Linked DNA regions of Saccharomyces cerevisiae S288C. The gene in region 1 interacts genetically with each later gene. Each region holds a gene or a part of one and is shown on either strand. Other genes may lie near its edges.

Evidence for each region.
Region 2: of LEU2 (region 1) and ATF1, changing one suppresses a phenotype caused by changing the other (phenotypic suppression), as found in Saccharomyces cerevisiae (one study listed by BioGRID).
Region 3: mutations in LEU2 (region 1) and SUI2 impair growth when combined (synthetic growth defect), as found in Saccharomyces cerevisiae (one study listed by BioGRID).

What each region holds. Positions count from the first base shown.
Region 1 is NC_001135.5:89,605-92,960, forward strand, and holds LEU2 (3-isopropylmalate dehydrogenase), read left to right. Parts: upstream 1-1,719; coding exon 1,720-2,814; downstream 2,815-3,356. Other genes in the region: NFS1 (cysteine desulfurase), read right to left, coding at 3,173-3,356. UniProt on the Saccharomyces cerevisiae protein: Catalyzes the oxidation of 3-carboxy-2-hydroxy-4-methylpentanoate (3-isopropylmalate) to 3-carboxy-4-methyl-2-oxopentanoate. The product decarboxylates to 4-methyl-2 oxopentanoate.
Region 2 is NC_001147.6:1,044,279-1,048,434, forward strand, and holds ATF1 (alcohol O-acetyltransferase), read left to right. Parts: upstream 1-1,947; coding exon 1,948-3,525; downstream 3,526-4,156. Other genes in the region: YOR376W-A (uncharacterized protein), read left to right, coding at 918-1,073. UniProt on the Saccharomyces cerevisiae protein: Major alcohol O-acetyltransferase that uses acetyl-CoA to synthesize acetate esters from various alcohols, producing ethyl acetate, isoamyl acetate, isobutyl acetate, butyl acetate, hexyl acetate, heptyl acetate and octyl acetate.
Region 3 is NC_001142.9:449,057-452,572, reverse strand, and holds SUI2 (translation initiation factor eIF2 subunit alpha), read right to left. Parts: upstream 1,554-3,516; coding exon 639-1,553; downstream 1-638. Other genes in the region: MHO1 (Mho1p), read right to left, coding at 1-143; DNA-directed DNA polymerase delta subunit POL31, read right to left, coding at 1,908-3,371. UniProt on the Saccharomyces cerevisiae protein: eIF-2 functions in the early steps of protein synthesis by forming a ternary complex with GTP and initiator tRNA. This complex binds to a 40S ribosomal subunit, followed by mRNA binding to form a 43S pre-initiation complex.

The DNA.
Region 1 (3,356 bases):
AAAATCCTTGACAGAAAAATTACCCAAACTAAACGTACCTTTGAACCCAAAAGGAAAGAAACTTAGAGCTCCAGGTCAACCAGGTCATTATATAGACCAGGATGAACTAGAAATAGATGAAGATGAATACAAAGAGAAAGTACATGAAATGCAAAAGTTGATTGGTCTAGCTTCATATGTTGGATATAAATTTAGATTTGACTTACTATACTACATCAACACACTTGCTCAACATATACTATTCCCCTCTAGGCAAGTTTTAGACATGACATATGAGTTAATACAATTCATGTGGGACACTAGAGATAAACAATTAATATGGCACAAAAACAAACCTACCAAGCCAGATAATAAACTAGTCGCAATAAGCGATGCTTCATATGGTAACCAACCATATTACAAGTCACAAATTGGTAACATTTTCCTACTCAACGGAAAAGTGATTGGAGGAAAGTCGACAAAGGCTTCGTTAACATGCACTTCAACTACAGAAGCAGAAATACACGCAGTCAGTGAAGCTATTCCGCTATTGAATAACCTCAGTCACCTTGTGCAAGAACTTAACAAGAAACCAATTATTAAAGGCTTACTTACTGATAGTAGATCAACGATCAGTATAATTAAGTCTACAAATGAAGAGAAATTTAGAAACAGATTTTTTGGCACAAAGGCAATGAGACTTAGAGATGAAGTATCAGGTAATAATTTATACGTATACTACATCGAGACCAAGAAGAACATTGCTGATGTGATGACAAAACCTCTTCCGATAAAAACATTTAAACTATTAACTAACAAATGGATTCATTAGATCTATTACATTATGGGTGGTATGTTGGAATAAAAATCAACTATCATCTACTAACTAGTATTTACGTTACTAGTATATTATCATATACGGTGTTAGAAGATGACGCAAATGATGAGAAATAGTCATCTAAATTAGTGGAAGCTGAAACGCAAGGATTGATAATGTAATAGGATCAATGAATATTAACATATAAAATGATGATAATAATATTTATAGAATTGTGTAGAATTGCAGATTCCCTTTTATGGATTCCTAAATCCTCGAGGAGAACTTCTAGTATATCTACATACCTAATATTATTGCCTTATTAAAAATGGAATCCCAACAATTACATCAAAATCCACATTCTCTTCAAAATCAATTGTCCTGTACTTCCTTGTTCATGTGTGTTCAAAAACGTTATATTTATAGGATAATTATACTCTATTTCTCAACAAGTAATTGGTTGTTTGGCCGAGCGGTCTAAGGCGCCTGATTCAAGAAATATCTTGACCGCAGTTAACTGTGGGAATACTCAGGTATCGTAAGATGCAAGAGTTCGAATCTCTTAGCAACCATTATTTTTTTCCTCAACATAACGAGAACACACAGGGGCGCTATCGCACAGAATCAAATTCGATGACTGGAAATTTTTTGTTAATTTCAGAGGTCGCCTGACGCATATACCTTTTTCAACTGAAAAATTGGGAGAAAAAGGAAAGGTGAGAGCGCCGGAACCGGCTTTTCATATAGAATAGAGAAGCGTTCATGACTAAATGCTTGCATCACAATACTTGAAGTTGACAATATTATTTAAGGACCTATTGTTTTTTCCAATAGGTGGTTAGCAATCGTCTTACTTTCTAACTTTTCTTACCTTTTACATTTCAGCAATATATATATATATATTTCAAGGATATACCATTCTAATGTCTGCCCCTAAGAAGATCGTCGTTTTGCCAGGTGACCACGTTGGTCAAGAAATCACAGCCGAAGCCATTAAGGTTCTTAAAGCTATTTCTGATGTTCGTTCCAATGTCAAGTTCGATTTCGAAAATCATTTAATTGGTGGTGCTGCTATCGATGCTACAGGTGTTCCACTTCCAGATGAGGCGCTGGAAGCCTCCAAGAAGGCTGATGCCGTTTTGTTAGGTGCTGTGGGTGGTCCTAAATGGGGTACCGGTAGTGTTAGACCTGAACAAGGTTTACTAAAAATCCGTAAAGAACTTCAATTGTACGCCAACTTAAGACCATGTAACTTTGCATCCGACTCTCTTTTAGACTTATCTCCAATCAAGCCACAATTTGCTAAAGGTACTGACTTCGTTGTTGTCAGAGAATTAGTGGGAGGTATTTACTTTGGTAAGAGAAAGGAAGACGATGGTGATGGTGTCGCTTGGGATAGTGAACAATACACCGTTCCAGAAGTGCAAAGAATCACAAGAATGGCCGCTTTCATGGCCCTACAACATGAGCCACCATTGCCTATTTGGTCCTTGGATAAAGCTAATGTTTTGGCCTCTTCAAGATTATGGAGAAAAACTGTGGAGGAAACCATCAAGAACGAATTCCCTACATTGAAGGTTCAACATCAATTGATTGATTCTGCCGCCATGATCCTAGTTAAGAACCCAACCCACCTAAATGGTATTATAATCACCAGCAACATGTTTGGTGATATCATCTCCGATGAAGCCTCCGTTATCCCAGGTTCCTTGGGTTTGTTGCCATCTGCGTCCTTGGCCTCTTTGCCAGACAAGAACACCGCATTTGGTTTGTACGAACCATGCCACGGTTCTGCTCCAGATTTGCCAAAGAATAAGGTCAACCCTATCGCCACTATCTTGTCTGCTGCAATGATGTTGAAATTGTCATTGAACTTGCCTGAAGAAGGTAAGGCCATTGAAGATGCAGTTAAAAAGGTTTTGGATGCAGGTATCAGAACTGGTGATTTAGGTGGTTCCAACAGTACCACCGAAGTCGGTGATGCTGTCGCCGAAGAAGTTAAGAAAATCCTTGCTTAAAAAGATTCTCTTTTTTTATGATATTTGTACATAAACTTTATAAATGAAATTCATAATAGAAACGACACGAAATTACAAAATGGAATATGTTCATAGGGTAGACGAAACTATATACGCAATCTACATACATTTATCAAGAAGGAGAAAAAGGAGGATGTAAAGGAATACAGGTAAGCAAATTGATACTAATGGCTCAACGTGATAAGGAAAAAGAATTGCACTTTAACATTAATATTGACAAGGAGGAGGGCACCACACAAAAAGTTAGGTGTAACAGAAAATCATGAAACTATGATTCCTAATTTATATATTGGAGGATTTTCTCTAAAAAAAAAAAAATACAACAAATAAAAAACACTCAATGACCTGACCATTTGATGGAGTTTAAGTCAATACCTTCTTGAACCATTTCCCATAATGGTGAAAGTTCCCTCAAGAATTTTACTCTGTCAGAAACGGCCTTAACGACGTAGTCGACCTCCTCTTCAGTACTAAATCTACCAATACCAAATCTGATGGAAGAATGGGCTAATGCATCATCC
Region 2 (4,156 bases), on another chromosome or scaffold:
GGACGTTTCCAATCATTAGCCGTTCCTCTAGACATCTACAGATCTATTCCTAATCACAACCTATCTCTAGCCGCAAGATATATCTGTGTGAGAGGGGTCGCAACAGGAATACCTTAAATGGGATAACCGTCACGTGACTCTCACTAGGGGCATCAAGTGCGCTGCTTCTTCAAGGTTTTCGCGCCCTGTTTGAAGAAGTGGCACAGAATCCATAGAGTAATATTACTAACGAGCTACGAAACTTAGCTTACCTATTAAATACTCAAAGAAAATACGCTGTGTATGCTTTTGCGGCACATCTATGTCATTAAATCTCTCCATGGCGCGTATATTTTATGACGGGAAATCTGAGGCCGATCGAGGAGGGAAATTACTAGAAAAGCTTATCCTTCTTTACCTCCGAACAAATTTTAAAATATACCTCAATGGGAATAAAGAATGCAAGGAAAGGCAAGGTTCAGCCTATGATGATGAATATCGTACTCTAAAATTATAGATATCTAACTGTGGGCGTATTAAACCTTGCTTTGGTCATTATCCAATCGTGTATGCAGAGAGCGGGGCGATATGCAGCAAACAAAAGGGGCGAAATAATAGTTACTCCAAAGATGAAATGGCAGAAGAAAATGGAAAACTATACAGTTTGCGAAGGAGGCATCCTCTTAGTTAAAAAAAAATTTGGACTCATTGCACTGCAAACAGAGTTTCTAGGATTGTCATATTTTGTACCTCCTGGAATGTTAAGACTTTCTCATTAATAATGGTGTGATACACTTATAGTTGGGTGCTAAAAGGTAACTGCAAGCCCCACATCTATAATATTACCGTTAAGTTTCCGGCGAATAGTTTCTCTTTTCGCCCCTCTATTTCTCCCTTCAAATGTGAAGATAAGGAGGACAGCCATAAATATTCCTGTAATGACATTCCATCTTGGGTGGACAATTTTATGGTATAATCAAGCGTATTTAGAAGTTTGGGCGACAGTATTTCAAGACGAGATGCATAAGTATTCTCTTCATCCTCAATCCCGCGATGCTAAAACAAAGTTTTGTTGTTGCATTCCATTTAAGTAGAGCAAAAGCGTGGCAAATCTGAAAAATTGCCACATAGGGTGCTAAATTTGGTATAATGGCACAAATAAACAATCTCAGTTTACTGACAGTGAACTACAGGAATATACAATTTTGAGGTGTTAACGACCAACCGTTAATAGCTTATTCTCTCATATGTTATACCACTGTAGGAAGAGGTGGTTTCAACTGTATTTTGAGCACAGGTAGATATAAGCTCTGGACAGTTTTGCTACCCCTTGAAAGAATTCAACAGTATTTTCTGAGGTACTCATCGTAAAAGATTGCTAATTTTGGTCGCGATGTATATAGGTAAAGGAGTATTTCCTAAAAGTTGCCAAAGATTATCAAAATATTACCGTGTTTATAAAATAAACTGACACCCGGATAATTAAGAAGTGGTAAGCTTATGTTAGAGTACTTGTACTTGACAAGTAAAATCAGAATTGGGAATTATCAATTGAGATCACGTGCAAACCGAAGAAATGCAAAGAAGTAAGGTTAGGGTTTATGGACCCAGGCAGCAGAAAATTGTAGCTTCATTTGTTGGCACAGGACTATTCCACCCTTAGAATTGACTTTTTGGACATTGAGCTAAGGTTCAATGCACTCGATGGTCTTCTCACTTCCGAATATATAGATCTAGCGTGTGAGGACTACTCATTGGCTTGCGATTTACGGTTTTTATATTTTTTGCCGCACATCATTTTTTGGCCTGGTATTGTCATCGCGTTGAGCGGACTCTGAATATAATCCTATTGTTTTTTATGGATCTCTGGAAGCGTCTTTTTGAAGCCAACCCAACAAAAATTCGAGACAAGAAAATAAAAAACGGCACTTCATCAGTATCACAAATACCATCAATTTATCAGCTCTCATGAATGAAATCGATGAGAAAAATCAGGCCCCCGTGCAACAAGAATGCCTGAAAGAGATGATTCAGAATGGGCATGCTCGGCGTATGGGATCTGTTGAAGATCTGTATGTTGCTCTCAACAGACAAAACTTATATCGAAACTTCTGCACATATGGAGAATTGAGTGATTACTGTACTAGGGATCAGCTCACATTAGCTTTGAGGGAAATCTGCCTGAAAAATCCAACTCTTTTACATATTGTTCTACCAACAAGATGGCCAAATCATGAAAATTATTATCGCAGTTCCGAATACTATTCACGGCCACATCCAGTGCATGATTATATTTCAGTATTACAAGAATTGAAACTGAGTGGTGTGGTTCTCAATGAACAACCTGAGTACAGTGCAGTAATGAAGCAAATATTAGAAGAATTCAAAAATAGTAAGGGTTCCTATACTGCAAAAATTTTTAAACTTACTACCACTTTGACTATTCCTTACTTTGGACCAACAGGACCGAGTTGGCGGCTAATTTGTCTTCCAGAAGAGCACACAGAAAAGTGGAAAAAATTTATCTTTGTATCTAATCATTGCATGTCTGATGGTCGGTCTTCGATCCACTTTTTTCATGATTTAAGAGACGAATTAAATAATATTAAAACTCCACCAAAAAAATTAGATTACATTTTCAAGTACGAGGAGGATTACCAATTATTGAGGAAACTTCCAGAACCGATCGAAAAGGTGATAGACTTTAGACCACCGTACTTGTTTATTCCGAAGTCACTTCTTTCGGGTTTCATCTACAATCATTTGAGATTTTCTTCAAAAGGTGTCTGTATGAGAATGGATGATGTGGAAAAAACCGATGATGTTGTCACCGAGATCATCAATATTTCACCAACAGAATTTCAAGCGATTAAAGCAAATATTAAATCAAATATCCAAGGTAAGTGTACTATCACTCCGTTTTTACATGTTTGTTGGTTTGTATCTCTTCATAAATGGGGTAAATTTTTCAAACCATTGAACTTCGAATGGCTTACGGATATTTTTATCCCCGCAGATTGCCGCTCACAACTACCAGATGATGATGAAATGAGACAGATGTACAGATATGGCGCTAACGTTGGATTTATTGACTTCACCCCCTGGATAAGCGAATTTGACATGAATGATAACAAAGAAAATTTTTGGCCACTTATTGAGCACTACCATGAAGTAATTTCGGAAGCTTTAAGAAATAAAAAGCATCTCCATGGCTTAGGGTTCAATATACAAGGCTTCGTTCAAAAATATGTGAACATTGACAAGGTAATGTGCGATCGTGCCATCGGGAAAAGACGCGGAGGTACATTGTTAAGCAATGTAGGTCTGTTTAATCAGTTAGAGGAGCCCGATGCCAAATATTCTATATGCGATTTGGCATTTGGCCAATTTCAAGGATCCTGGCACCAAGCATTTTCCTTGGGTGTTTGTTCGACTAATGTAAAGGGGATGAATATTGTTGTTGCTTCAACAAAGAATGTTGTTGGTAGTCAAGAATCTCTCGAAGAGCTTTGCTCCATTTACAAAGCTCTCCTTTTAGGCCCTTAGATCTCACATGATGCTTGACTGATATTATTCGACAATATGATTATGTCGTGTAAATAACCCACTTTCATGTTGTCACTCCCTCGGCTTTGGTTGGTTAAAGGGACTTATCGGTTTCTTTTTTTAGAGTTGATTTAAGATCAGATCGAAGTAAATAACGTGCAGAACATTGCATATGATAGATAACAACCTATAGTATATATTTCAAAATCGCGACAAATCTGAAATATTAATTGATTTGATTAGCTGCAGAGATCTTCTCGATGTAAGGAGCTATTTAAATAGAAAGGGTCAGAATCGTCGTCCTGTGGGAGCTGGTATATACTAAATTGATGAACAACTAAAATAGCACTCTCATTGTCATTTTGGGTGTGAGACCTTAAGCAAGGAGAGATATTTTTAATGGATGTATTAGCGCAGCCGTTGCTTACGGTATTCCTTGGCATATTGTCCCTGAAAAAAAACCGTTGTACACTCGGATACGCATTTTTCGGACTTCTCCCACCCAAGAAACGCAACTTTTGAAGGGCGCCTACACCACTAGACCAACAAGGCCAATGCAAAGCTACAAACAAATGCGTGGGCGCATGGGCATAAGGAGGTGTAAAAAGCTTTTTTTTTTTATGTGAGGAAT
Region 3 (3,516 bases), on another chromosome or scaffold:
GCATGAGGACATATGATAATTCTGGCGTTGTGAATTGGGCCTTTAAGGGTACTTTTGATCAAGTATGTATGCAGTTGTTGAGATAATTCTTGGGCTCTATTGGAATACCATGAGCCTGCATGTGTTGCTGGACGTATTGACATGTTTGAAAAATTCTATTCTTTGCACTGTAGTCCACCTAAGCCACCGACTAGGACCACTTCACTTAAGTATCAGTCAGACTTTCCTTTGAAAATATATCAGTGTGTATCCGCATGTTATCTGTTTTGTTGAAAATCACATGAGTGGACGGCCCCTTTGTCTTGTCTTAGTGTTCCCCAATGATTTAAATGCAATTCCGAAGGAAAGGGGGGAGCCTCATATTATTACAGCATCACTACCTTTTGAGGTAAAAATATCTCATGTGAAAAAGATAAATTATAGAGAACCGGCAGGGCATGCTCCACTGACAACCCCGTGGTAACAGAAATTAAATTTTGATTATGATTAAATGGATTGTAATATTTATAATAGCCAAATGTACAAGGTGTATATTGCAAAGAATATGATATGGCAGGATATACGTATTTGTTCTATACAAAATTTTCTAAAACAGTATGACACTTGAAAACACCTAGAAAAATTAGGCGCGGCAATGATTACTCGTCGTCTGACTCATCCTCATCGTCTTCAGAGTCAGATCTATTATCTAATTCTTTGCTTTCTAATAGAGCTTGTAACTCAGCGTCTTCAGTAGCAGTGACAGCCTTTGGTGGCATGGTAATGTTGCAAACACCGCCGTATTTTGTAATAACCTCTGTAATTTTTTCAATAGCGCTTTCCAGTTGTTCAATACCTTTTTGCTTATCCAAGGCTTGGGTGGTCAAAACATATAATGGGGCGGCGACTAATTTAACTTTAACTTGCATTTGTTCTGTGGACATGTCTTCAGCTGATTTTAATGCGTCTTTAATGGCATCGATACCTTCGTAACTAAAACAAGACACTTCAACATCGGCTCTAATCTTTACAGCTTGTGGTGTTAATCTCTTGGAGATATAGTTCTTTAATTCATCTAAAACATCTTTTGATGGCGGTTCAATACCTTCCCAAACAGTTTCGTCAATGATGGATAGTTTGAAAGCTTCGTAAGCGTGACCAAATTTTCGACTTAATGGCCAAGCAATGGTCTTATATAGTTCTTCCAAAGGGATTTGGAATTTTTCGGCACAGTATCTTAAAATGGAATGAACAGTCTTAGATTTTTGGTATTTTTCTTCACATTTAATGATATCTTCAGAAGAAACACGACGTTTGGACAAATCAATATAACCTTTTTCTTTGTCGACACGAAGAACAACGGCGACATCATTTTTACCAACACGAATTAATTTTTGGATTGACCTAATACGTCTACGGGACAATTCACTTAGTAGAATCATACCTTCAATGTTGTCATATTCTAACAATTTAACATAAGCACCCATTTCAGCAATCTGCTGGACGTTAACCATGACGATATCGTCAATTTCTGGGTATTTGTTTTCATAAAATCTGCAATGAGAAGTGGACATTATTTGGTGTATTATAGAAGGTGCGTGAGGCAGCAGAAAAGACACAAAAATATGAAGACAAAAACTGATTAGTAAACAGATTGCACTTTACTCTTTAATGACCTAGGAAATAAACAATGGTTGAAAATTTGTAAATGCGATTTTATACTACTATTTCATCAGATTTGTGCTTTCTCTTCTTCTCTTTTTCGCCTCTTCGAAGAAAAAATTTTTCTCCGACTGCGGGTAAGAAAAAACGCTCATAGTTTTTCTACCAGCTGTGACAAGAAACGTATTTTGAGCTGAACGATGAATGCTCACTTTTACATATAAAACTTAATTGCATATCTATGTGGAAATTATTCCTTGTTTTATTTAAATGTCAATCTTGACCGTCTCTGCTTCTAACGTTTCCAAATCCAGTAATATTATCATCCCAGTAGAACTGAATTCAGGGACAGATATTATCTTTATGTTCTTACCACCTATTTCCACTACTCTTGTTCCAAAATATGGCTGGTTTGCCACAATGTAAACGTGGGGCCACTTATCCAATACAAATGGATCCTTATCAGTGTACGGATAACACCATAAGGTATCAGGTGCGGTGGGCGCGATGTTTTGCCATTTCATTGTACATTCCATAAGGTCCAGGCGATGCTCTATATCGTCTTTGAAATCATTACTCTCGCCCTCCTCGACCTTGTTTTCACTTTCTCCGTTATCATTTGATGGTATTACGTATTTACAAATATCATTGATATTTTTGCCTGAAACGGCTAGAACGTCTACGCCATTATAGCTAAACTCATATGGGTTGGTCACTAAATTCAAAATTTCTTTGTTAGAACCGTTGAAGTATGATTCTAGGGACTTATCAAACAATGATTTGTGGAAAGGCTGTTGCGGTAGAGATTTGTCACTTGGATCATTGGTTCCGGGCATAATATCAACAGATATAGATGGCAAAATGTTGTGTAGAAATTTACTGAACTCAGTTAGAGAAATCATCAATTCGTCTTTGTTCACGCTTTTAATGTCGAAGTCAACAGAGTTGCCGCATATCAGTAATCTACCAATTAGAGAAATGTCGTCAATTTTGTTATTGATTCTCCCCATCAAAAATTCTCTCAAAATCTCCAATCTCAATAGCCTATCAGGTGATGTATTATTGAGGTTTAACCCAGAAACAAGAGCAATTTTTCCCCTGGTGGGGCAGGTAGCAATTGGTGCAGGGAAAGGATTTTGTGGTAAAGGAGTGGGGTAGCATATGTCTAAAACTTGAAATGTCCCGGCTTCAGCTTCCATACCCAGTATACCTACAACAACACCCGTGATGAAGGGTGTAGACCGAATAAAATCTCCCACTAGAAGCACTCTCCCACTTTCATCTTCGAGCATAATTTCATCAGAACCACCCTCTTTATCAGTATAACTTTTAGTTAAATCTGGTGCACCATATGTATCATTGATCACTTCGTCCAGTACGTTTGGTTTATATTTCATCTCGCAATATATGGATCCTACGCACCAACATGGTTGGTTTCCCTGAATATCTAACACTTTGTCCTTTTTTAGAACTAATTGGCCATTCAAGGTAAAGCCCGCATCCCATCTCTTGTCACATTCTTTTAAGACGCGTTCTCTGAAAGTCTTTAGACGGTATTGATAAATGTGGTAGTACTGAGAACCGTAGTCACGTTTTTTATAGCATAGTTGGAATGGATTCGATTTGTTGTAAAGATTGTCGTCAACAATTCTTACTCTCGTTCGTGGTTGGGACAAGTTTTCATCTTGGAGACTTCTATCCTCGTTGAACTTTGTTAACAATGCGTCCATTGCCCTTCACTTCCATTTTTGCAGGAAAGATTCAGCTATAGTTCGCTTATTGCAATGGGATTTCAAAAATAGTTTATATTTTAACTTTTGAAATTAATCAGACGCGTCTGATTAATCGTATAACATGATATAAATCTAGAGTTAG